3 linked regions of the Arabidopsis thaliana genome follow. The protein of the gene in region 1 interacts with the protein of each later gene in a pairwise test. Each region holds a gene or a part of one and is shown on either strand. Other genes may lie near its edges. The genes, in order: SAR1, AT2G23830 and KAT1.

Region 1 (3,755 bases):
TTAGTGTCAGTACCAGCAATAGCAACATTGCAGATTGTCGAACATGCATACATATATGTATAATATATATAGCCTATACAAAACAAATTTCAAGAAGTACAATCTAAGAAGAAACATATAGTATGAGAATATAGAAATCACAAAAACAAAAACAAAACAAAAAGGTAGCACAACGAACTGAATGAAGATATTCTCAGAGATCTTGGGAAGCACAGAGCGCAGTCGATAACGCCGGGAAGAAATGTTCCAGACTTATTTACCGCAGTTGAATCCCCCACAAATTGAGAGGATGATGATGAGAATCAAGGCAATGATAATTGCAAGGACAATGAGCTTTATCTTCATGTTCTGAAACCACATCTTTCTTCTCATTTGAGTTCCTTGTGTTCTAAAATCTTGCGCCTGTGATAAAGTCGAGTTCAAATTTAAAGTTAGAAACCCAAGAAACAACAATCAGTAAGAGAAAGCTGCAAACTCTTGCATGTCTCTGTGTGGGTCTATTGACTTTGAACCATTTAGAAAACAAACCTGTGAGCGAAGGTTTTCTGTTTTGTCAACCAAAAGCTCAATCTTCTCACCACGGTCAAGAACCTGCAAACGAATGCATAAACGAGTTAACAACAGAATATGTCTTCACAACCGAGAATAAAACATTCCTCTCTACAGTTTATGCTTTACGAATCATAAGATCCTGGTACTAAAGTCATACAAGCTGAACTCTGTTCGAAAAGGTTTACAACATAAAACTATATCGATAAAAAGAAAAAAGGGTCAGAATCAAACCTTCTCAATGTTTTCCATCATAACACCTTTAACTTCAGACACTTGAGCTTTAACCTTAGCAAGCTTGCTAATCTCATCAGGATGATCCATGCAATACTGCATATGCTCTTTCAGTTTCGACCTTTAGAGAAGCCAAAAAGAAGTCCATCAATAACTATGCCCATGAATCATAGACCCTTTTCAATACCAATCAAAGAGATCAAAAAACACATACCCAAATTCTTTATTCAAGCTGTTTGCTTGAGCAGTTGCAGCCTTTCCACCACCATATCTCTTGTTGAAATCCTCCTTAACTCGTTCCAAGAAAGCCATAGGAATCTGCCTCCCAGCAGAATCAACTGCAACAACACAATAGGCTGCACAAACGAAAACAAAACCGGTCCATTTTAAACTCTATATTAAGAGATAAAGCAATAGATTCATCAATATATCGCTGATAAGAAAGTTAACACTATCATAAAGAGACCATATCCGCCATCAACATCACCCAAAACCCAATTAGGTTTAGTAAAACAGAGTTACATAAAGAACACAATACACTAATGCCAAAAACTTCATGATATCGAAAGCTACACGCAAATAAGCAAAGAATCAATAGATCCAGAACAAAAATTGCAAATATTCATTGATAGATCCACCAAAAATATCACTGATTACCATAGATCTAACATCAATTAATTATCAACGCCAATACATAATTATTACTGGAAACTATACCAAACATAAGAACTCGATTCATATTTCTCAATTAGGCAAAAAATCTAATTCAAACAATGGATAAATCAAAACACAAACAAGCTACGCTTACAGATCGAGCAATATTTTGACTCACTGAATCCATTTTCGACGAGGTAATTGAACGTGTGACCATCGCAGTTGTAGGTAAACTTGTTGTTAGAAGAAGGAAGCTTCTGAAGGCACTGAGCAGCGATTGATGTGAAATTGCCTTTGAAATCTGTGAACTCAACGAGGATAACGGTACCACGAGCGACGAAACTGTAGATCAACGATTGTTGCGCCATTTTTTTTACTCAAAAACGACGCGAATCCGATTTTACGGGACCGATCTCAGAGATTTATATTGGCGAGCACGAAGGCTTTAGAGATCTAGAAGACTTGACGCTGAAACGCGTAGAGAATCGAGGACTAAAAGAGAATACGGTGAAAAAGAAAAGTGTAGGAGAAATCTTAACGTAGTTGAAGAAGAAAAATCAAACCCTTGAGTTTTAGAGGGCAAAAAAGTTATATTTCAGAAAGATTTATGCAGATTGTGCAAATTGAAACAATCTTGAACTTGAGGACCTAAAAGCAAATTCAAATAATCAACTTGTGGGGTTTTAAAAAGTTGGTGATGTTGGTGTAATGGTATTTTGTTATTTGATAGTTTCAACGTATTTTTATCAGCGAAAATGAATTTGGATAAGCTAGTTTGAACTTTGACCTTTGAATAATTGGTTCCTATATTATCTAAATCTACTATTAAAATTTAAAACTTAAAAGTCATCAAAGATTATTACATGTGGTTGGATAATAATTTTATAAATTGTCTTTTTTGGGGTATTTGTAGAAAATTTGGCATATTTGGGGTTTTGGTGTAATCTAAATTAAATGACTAAATAAGAATATTTTCAAAGTTATAGGAAAGTTCAATGGTCTAGTCACCATAATAAATGATAATCTACAATTCTACATGCATCCCATGTCCGCTCCTATTAATTCAAATCTATTTTTTTCTTGATTTAATTGTACTTAGAGGTTGCTTACTATTGTAATATATATACCTGAATTTCACGTGTACACTTCTAAAGTGTATCTTATATTTACAACAAGACTATATTTTGTATTTAAAGTTGAAATTGGTAGGTGTGAATGTGTGATAGTTTTGGAGGAATGGTTTGGAAATATATCGATCGTTTAAATAAAATAAAACAAGAATATGGTGCGAGAGAAGGGATCAATTTGTTTGAACTTGACCGCAAAAATACTTTACGATGAGATCAATTTTCACTCGTCAATCATTTGGTGAGAAAAGGATGACAATTTCTAAACGAAGTTTATTCTAACTCTCTAGGAGATAATGCCTCAAAGGCTTACAAATTGCAATAAAATATAATAATAAGAAATGTGATTGGAAATACTAATTAAAAATAAAATAAAACACACCAACGAAAGGAAGAAGAAGAAGAAGAGAGAGGTGGTTTATGTTTAATTTGTAAAGCGGTAACATCCTGTAGCGGCACTGCAACCACGTCGGTATTTGTTATCCGGTTTATCCGGTTTACCATCTGGTTTGGCTGGTAAGTTTTTCTTCAATGCTTCGTAATCTATAAATCTCTTAGCTTGAAGTATCCTATGGCTCACATCTACACCTGAACTCATCTTCATGATCTCTTCTTTTTCTCCACCGTCCATGCAATTGTCACATTTTACCGGACGAGATCCGACCACAAGCGCTGGAAGCAAAGCTGCCGAGATGATCATCACAGCGATGATCAAGAGCTTCATGTTATTCATCATCGAGACTTATCAAGAGAGTGTAAAGTTGAGAGTAGTAGTTGTTGTTTCGTTTACGTTGAAATGGTTTGTGATGAAACACTTGGTTAATCTACACTTTTATAGAGGTTAATTTTTTTTGTAGAGGTTCATCGAATATTTGACCAGATTCTTACTCGAAAAAGAAAATCAAAATTACTCCGTCAAATTCATGGAATAAGAAATGAATACGGTGCCCAAAAAAGATGAACCTACACAAATAAATGATTCAGTGGATTTGTTTTGCTCTGTATAGTGATCAAAGTCGGTCAATTCGCATAATTAATTGGTCAAAGCCTCAATAATGATTTCCATATATGATAACATTGATGGCTCGTTTTTAACACAAAACTGAGGGGATGCATTGGAACATGATTATAACGTCTTATACTGCCGTTATAACGTCTCCGGTATCAAAGACAAGATACTATAACGAAAAG
Region 2 (3,755 bases), 3.9 Mb from region 1:
GTAATACCTCAAACACCCAAAATTAAAATTATAAATCCGATTATACTAGATTCTTTTAGTAATTCATATACATTTGGATATATTTGGGATAAAAGTAACAAATGTTATAGTTTTCTTTTAGGTAATTTAAGTATTTTGTTTACATTTGGTTATATTTGTATAAAAAGTAACAAATATATTTACGGGCAATCGGGTATTTCGGGTAGATTTGGGTATATATGAGTAAAAAACCCGAATCCAACCCGAACCCAAAAATATTTTGGGTATTTTTGGTTATTTTTACATTTTTACTAAAATAACCGAACCGACCCGAAACCGAACCGAAACCGAACTGAATTTTTAGAATACCCGAATGGTTCTCAACCTCTTACCCGAATAGACCCGATACCCGGAAAAAAAGAACCGAACCCGAACGGGTACCCGAATGCCCACGCCTATCTAAGATATGTGTTATTTTATTTGAATTTCAAAGGTTTGAGCTATAAGGATATGATTATATAGATGGTCAGTGATGTTTAGATTTTAGTGCATTATATACAAAGTAAACTGGGTCTCATAATTATTTTACAAACAAATTACTGTACAGAATCAATCGAGTTTTACCAGCCGCTATTACGAGCTCGTGGCAAGCAGCTCCAAACGCCATAGCAAGAGACATCGCTAAGAGTGTTACTGGTGATGAATATCGTCAATGAAGTAAAGAGAAAATGTCTAACAAAAACACTGAAATATAAACCCTCTTCTAGTCCTTGGTGAACTAGTGATGTTGGTCGTGGTGGAGCAAACATAAGTAACTCTCAGTTTAGTCTCCTCAACTACATGCCCTGATTCTTTGCTAAACTGCAAAGTTGCTCATCAGAAAAAAACGAAACAAATGCTTTAAGGAACCAAAAGCCAAAGTGTGAATTATTCATCAAATCAACAATGTGAATCAGTACCATCTCACGAGTAACTTCTTTGGCTGTGACTCCAGGACTAGCCAGTACACTTTGAATCATAAACTTTTCAAAGCTCTGCATATCAGAAGGAACTTCCTTTTGAGCTTGCATGGTCACTAGACAAACAACAAATAAAGATTCATCAAATTCCTAGTCCAAGAACAAGTTTGGCAGTTGAAGGGGGAAAAAAAGTTTCCCCAAGAAAACGATTAGAGAACGGACCAAGAACTTTACAAGTCGACTTTGGAAGAATAAGTCCATAATTAGGCCTAACGCAATAGTTGTTCCGATTTGTCGTCTTAACCTCAAATAAAATAAAGAGAATCACGAGAAACCTTAGAAACACGAGATAATCACGACAATTTAATGACTCGGAAAACTTTGTTTTACCTTAAAGGCCACGTTATTGTCTGTCTTGTTCGTCAAGTAAAGAGAGCAAGACATCTGCTTCTTCAATTCAACTACATCAACTCAGCCAAGTGAATAGCGAAATTTAATAGTAAACCATAACTCAACAAAATCTGGTTATGGACAAGAAAGACATGCAAAATCAGGGAAAACAAGAAAAAGTCAAAAAAAAAACTTACAAGGGAATTGAAGATACATAGGCTCGATTTCGAGAAGCTCGTTGTTACTCATCTTGAGAAGATCGCCGGAGATTCAAACTTTTCCGATCGAGAGAGGGAGAGGGAGAGAGATCGAATGAAGAGAGTCGGAAAAATCGTTATTTGTCTTGTTACGACAAGGGTAAAAATTGTCTGTTCAACTAAAACTGAAACATTCTTTGAAAAGTTCCATGTTGAATAATCAGCTAAACCATTTGTTACGACTACTACTATTATATTATTATAAGTTTTGCAAATTAAAACCTCTACCAATTTCCCTTCTCCTTCCGAGTCCACTAAGTAGCTTCTCGCGCAAGAATCATTTTTAAAAAAATATAATAATTTAATTGTAGACTTGTGGTTAATAACATGAACATCGGAAAAAATCAAAATCTTAAAGGTTAAGATAAAAGAAGCTCAAAATCGACAAAAGAACTATGCGGATAAGCGTCGGAGAGAGTTTGGAGTTTTCGGTTGGAGATATGGTTTATTCTAAAATATGTTTTTAAAAAGAAAAGACATAACTACTAATGTTAATTTTGTGAAACCCAATGGTAAAAGGTTTAAAGACTTTTAGACTAGAGAGAAATCTAATCTAAGTGAGGTTAGTAGGAGATCTAAGTGTGGCAGGGAAACTACACTTTATGAAGTGTCTATACTCTATTCGTTATTCTTATTCAACTTTTAACCCGTGCAAAATCTTGAAACAAAACAAAACAAAGAAAAATCATTTGACCTCTATTAACGATCCGAAAATTTATATTGAGGAACCAATGATACTTTCTTAAAATAAAATTTAAGAGCTTGATTAAGTTTTTTGATCTTCATTAGCTATCTATAAGATAGTCACTAGCTAGCTATCTTTTATTAGTGATAGTAACAAAACAAGTAAAGACAGCTACGAAGATTATTAGAAAAACCTTAAGATGATTAAATTTGAAACGTACGAGTATTTGAACTCCACTGAGCTAGACGTTAAGAAACAAAAAGAAAGAGTCAAGTGAGAACTAATGTTGCTTTCGTCTTCTTGAAACAATCTCCGACGCCCAAGCCTTGCCTATATTAGTCTGGAACTTCCCTGAATCAAACAGTAACAAGCTTAAAGCCTTCAACCATATTCAGATTATCTATTTAGAGTATAATGACATACAACAAAAATTACCTGCTGTTGATTGGAAAAACTCTTCTAGATCTTTCCCTTGATCTGCGTTAAATAGCAAACAAAAAACAATATGAGTATTAGTTTCTGCTAAATCTCTTATCGAAAGAGAGTTTCTTTTATTGGTCATTCATTACCTTGTTCATATTCCAAAGCTTGTAGTATCAGCTCAACTTTATCGAAATCTTTAACAACTTTGGCTTCAGGTGAAGAGTTCTCTTCGTATTCTCTCCAAAGCTCAGCGATTTCTTTTGCTGCAATTACGATATATACATTTTTAGAAGTGATGATAAGTGTTATACAAATGAGCATAAGAAGGTCGAACGAAGATACATAAGGTATTTCAACAATAGAAGAGAAACAGACCTCTTTCGCCTCCACCCAAGAGTTTGCACATGTGCTCAAGTGCTTCGCTTTCTCTTCGGTTTTTCTCTTCTTTAGATATCCCACAAGAAGGTGTAATGTCTCCTACAATGGCTGCTCAACAACAACTCGACTAAATAACTCGTGATTAAGAAAATCGATGATTAAAAATCTCTAAAAGTGAAAGAACTAACCTTCTGCAATATCATGAACAATCGCCATTTTCATGCATCTATAGAAAGAAAAGTATGTATATAAGAAGAGTTTTTTCACAGCAGTTGAAACTTGAAAAGAGAGAAGCAAGCAAGAAACTTACTTGTCTCTGTTAACACCGGGGATATCTGAAGAAATTAGAGCCATAAGACCCATCCGATACATGTGATCCGCTATAGATTCTGGATCTTTCACATCTCTCTTAATCCATCCAGCTCTTGGAGTTGTCTATTTGATATAAAAAGATGGTTTACCAAACGATACAGCACACAAACTCTATCGTTAAATCAGCAAACAAAAACTCACTTGATTCACAAAAAAGTAAAACACATGACAAACTTCACATCTTCAAGGATTTAGTAATCACAGACCATTAATCACATAAACTTGAAATCATTTCATTCCCCTAAACGAATTCTACAATCCGTCAACAGATGCAGCCAAGCTTGACAATGTTTCATTTCCGTAACAATCCAC
Region 3 (3,755 bases), on another chromosome or scaffold:
CTTCTTTGAAATTTGGATACACAGCTCCAATCCATGTCTTTCTTGGATTAGGATATCTATCTGCAATCAGGTAGTTGAAACATCCAGCACAATGTATAGCGAACAAAGTGACCTGAGATCAACAAGCACGTGTAAGTCACTAGCTTTAATATGGTGTCCATTTAAAAGACAAATAAACCCTAAGAATAGATCACCTAAATGGACAGCCCTAAGCTTAAAATGCTTTATTATAAGTGAGATTAGTTTTGCTCTGTTTTGGAACTAACCGAAATGAGTTTTGTGCAACGTATCCAGAAATAGTTGAAACGGATATCTTTCTCAAGCCTGAAGCAAAGGTAAGAGTTAGTTAGACTTGAGTAAGCACTTTCTTAGTTAAACCCTAAGAAGAGTATGGTCTCTTAGTTAGCATAGAAGCAAACCTTGCAAATAGCGAGCTAACTCGCCGGAGACGCCATAACCTGAGCATGCTAAGAATTCTGAATCCTAGTTCGCTTCCGTTGTAGTTAAACAAGAGGCTTAGTGGCTGAAATGGTGCTGTGGAACAAACATCGAAAGCGAACCACGTCGAAAGGTACCTGAAAATGTTACAATTTCAAAACATACTTTGAGATTCTCATTCACTTATAAAAGGTTTCAAGTTAAGAAAAAAGGTTTCTCACCTTATTGCTATTTTCTTAGGACTGTCAACTAGAAGATAGGAGTGGCTATCGAGATAAGCGACGAAGAAGGTGAGAATAATATCAATGGCGAAGAAGCCATTAACAATGTTGTCGATGATGAAAATCGCGTCTTTTTTATAGGTGATGAAAGCAAATTGAAATGGGCAAATCCAAGCTGAGTAAATAACTAGTAATACTAGCCACATCTCCCACGCTCTGTTTCAACAAACAGAGGATTGAAAACAGAGTCTTTAAATATACTTATAACGTGAGTAAAAACAGAGTAGTTAAAACTACTTATAACCTGAATAGTTGAAAACATAGTTGAAAACAGAGTACTTAAAACAGAGTTTAGTAGATGAGAAAATTACCTGTAACGTGGATTAAAAGGAGAGATTATGTGTTTGCGGAGCTTAGTAGATTGGTTGATCCTGGCTCCAAGAGATGGTAGAAGATCGGCAGAGAGGAAACTACTCTGTTTTATGGTGTCTATATTGTATTCCTCGACGCAGAATCTTTCGAAGAAATTTCGAGTCCAAGAGATCGACATCTTTTTGATGATCTCTAAAGACAAAGAAACTGTTATACCTTTTTAGGCTTTCTTCTTGGCAAGGTAGTTATAAATAGTGATGAAGCTTGTGACAAAGCAACACGGGGAAACTTCTCTTTTCTTCTTCTGTTGGGACCTTTATGGCAACTTGTTGTGACCCATTTGTTATCTTTTTTTCTTTTTGGTTGAGAATTTGGCAGGGAAAGGTTAACGGCTTTAAGAAGACTCAGTGCACCATTAATGCTGCAAAACCAATATGGTTTCGATTCGAGAAGCAACAATGGTGAAGAAAAGGCGTAAAATGCGGAACGGAGTAAGTGTGAGATGATCAAAAATCTTGAGAGATGAGACAGAATTTAAGTGGCAAACATTGAGCTTTTGCGGTAGATATCATCATATTTTGTTTCTTTTTTGACACGAAAATATAAGATTCGAAAGAGGAGGAAGAAGAAGAGGAAACGCAATCTGTTTCTTTGGAGGTTTCTACTTGATGAGATTCATGACTATCAGACTATGGTGTGATGTCCACTTTCCTAGCATTTGAAGGTGGGAGTGATATATAGACATAGAGACACATATAAAGGAAGGAAGGTACGTTTGGTGTTTGGTAAGTGTTAATGGGAGGACAAAAATGGGCATGAAAATTATGGTGTGTTCATTTCAGGAATCCAGAAATGGACCAAGCAAAATAAAGAAAATAAAATGGCATTTGACAGAATATGTAAGGGGCCAGAGTATATTTTTTTTTCTTTCTTCGAAAAAAGTTTTATTTTCTCATCAACTATTCTTAAAGTATATGTCTCTATTTTATTTTCTAGTCCCCAAAACCAATCATAAGTTTATTGTACTCATTGCAAAAAAAAAAAAAAAAAAGTTATTGTTCTCATTTTGGATTGAGTTTTACTAAATAGCCATAAACTTGGAAGATTATTTCCAAAACACTCATATAGAAAATATAGTAGTCCATTTAATCTTTTTGCATGGGAAGTGAAACTCTAAGATTATTTTACCGAAACAGCTTATATAATGTATTATTATTATAGAAGCTACGTGAACTCTCCACGTGGATAAACCGAATCTAGGTAGCGAATGAGGCTCTCTAAACAGTGAAGTCCCAAACTCTCTTCTCACTCGGACACACTCGCTGGCTCGCAAGCAATATGTCTTTGTTGTGTTTTGACTTTGGTTTATACTTAGTACTTAGGAGAAGACACACCAATAGGAGATCTTCACGTGGTGGGTTTTTTCATGTGTGTACACTTGATTTCTTGTCCGTCCCATACTTCTCATTCCCGTCGGTATGGTGGCCCCTCCCTTCTCCTTCATGTTCTGATTCCATTTACTAATTTCTTATAAACCCTTTCTAGATATATGTATGTTTTCATTTCTCTAGTGTGCTAGACTCTTTATATCTTAATCTCACTAATAAAGGAAAAATACGTAATTTATAAATTTTAACAAAATAATAAACTTGATTTCTAAATTCTTAATTAAGAATTTAAAAATGACATCTTACTCATAGGAGGAAATATATGAAATGATAAATCCCATAAACTGTGAAAGAACAAATCTAGAGTTTAAAACACAACATGATAAAATATATATAACATGGCTATAAATATTTTTAACAAAAAGGTGATAAATTATAGATGAATTGTACATTGACTACATTCTGTGCAAATGAACATGTGCTAACCTTTTCTAATGCGGTTATAATTGACATGGGAAAACAAAAGAAAAGAAAAAAGAATCAGGAATTTTTTCTACAATAGGAACGAGAAATGAGAGAAAACAAATTGAAACAACTAAGAATAAAGTTATGAAAAATCATGGTTTATAATAAAACACATTTGTATACGAATATTGATTTTTTGGTAATCCTAAATATTTGACTAAACTTTTGTTTTCGTTCGCTAGTATAGAATGCCAAGTATAAATTCTTCAAACCTTTCCGCCAAATTTGTATTATTAAATCATTCCAAAGCTTTTTGTTTCTGCGTCGATCTGAGCCCGTTCGAATGTATCTTTCATGATTCCTTGTTGATATTTTGTTTATTGTCTTCCTGAATCCTAATATCATTATAGAAACAAAACAAAACAAAATAAAGTAAATGAGAGATTCCTAATATAAACATAACATGAGCTAACTTTAATATTATTTTCTCGTGATTAATTAGTTTTGCCAATAAAAGTTTTATATTAGGTTTTATGATCTAACTTACTTTTTAAAAGATGATTATAACTATTGAAAAATGAATTATTTCGGCTTTCAAATTTTAGTATTTTGTGATTTTTTTTTTGTTTTTTAATTTCGGTTATTCATATATTTCAAATCAAAAGGAATTACTGGGTTACTAAACCTTGCCTTAAAAGACCAGAAATCGTAAACTGCTTTAAGTTTGCTATTTGCTGTCTTCCTAGTGCAAGTGGGGTTGTTCATGTTAACTGTTTAAATTTAAGTTTAAGCTGTCACATGCATGCTAAGAGTAGTGTAGGGTCTAAAAATTTGTTAGTTATTTTTGTTGTTGTGGGCCATCATAAGTCTT

The links.
Region 2: the proteins of SAR1 (region 1) and AT2G23830 interact in a two-hybrid assay, tested with the Arabidopsis thaliana proteins (one study listed by BioGRID).
Region 3: the proteins of SAR1 (region 1) and KAT1 interact in a two-hybrid assay, tested with the Arabidopsis thaliana proteins (one study listed by BioGRID).

The regions. Positions count from the first base shown.
Region 1 is NC_003071.7:14,043,533-14,047,287, forward strand, and holds the start of SAR1 (synaptobrevin-related protein 1), read right to left. Parts: upstream 2,012-3,755; 5' UTR 1,806-2,011; coding exon 1,592-1,805; intron 1,140-1,591; coding exon 998-1,139; intron 905-997; coding exon 784-904; intron 592-783; coding exon 529-591; intron 403-528; coding exon 253-402; 3' UTR 1-252. Other genes in the region: RALFL18 (ralf-like 18), read right to left, coding at 2,989-3,300. UniProt on the Arabidopsis thaliana protein: Involved in the targeting and/or fusion of transport vesicles to their target membrane.
Region 2 is NC_003071.7:10,141,468-10,145,222, reverse strand, and holds AT2G23830 (PapD-like superfamily protein), read right to left. Parts: upstream 1,756-3,755; 5' UTR 1,578-1,755; coding exon 1,526-1,577; intron 1,400-1,525; coding exon 1,329-1,399; intron 1,243-1,328; coding exon 1,161-1,242; intron 1,055-1,160; coding exon 939-1,054; intron 841-938; coding exon 712-840; 3' UTR 509-711; downstream 1-508. Other genes in the region: AT2G23820 (Metal-dependent phosphohydrolase), read right to left, coding at 2,551-2,621, 2,706-2,747, 2,840-2,956, 3,069-3,179, 3,260-3,297, 3,382-3,506. UniProt on the Arabidopsis thaliana protein: May play a role in vesicle trafficking.
Region 3 is NC_003076.8:18,745,353-18,749,107, forward strand, and holds the start of KAT1 (1), read right to left. Parts: upstream 2,055-3,755; 5' UTR 1,210-2,054; coding exon 1,031-1,209; intron 876-1,030; coding exon 660-875; intron 576-659; coding exon 420-575; intron 325-419; coding exon 267-324; intron 113-266; coding exon 1-112. UniProt on the Arabidopsis thaliana protein: Highly selective inward-rectifying potassium channel. This voltage-gated channel could mediate long-term potassium influx into guard cells leading to stomatal opening.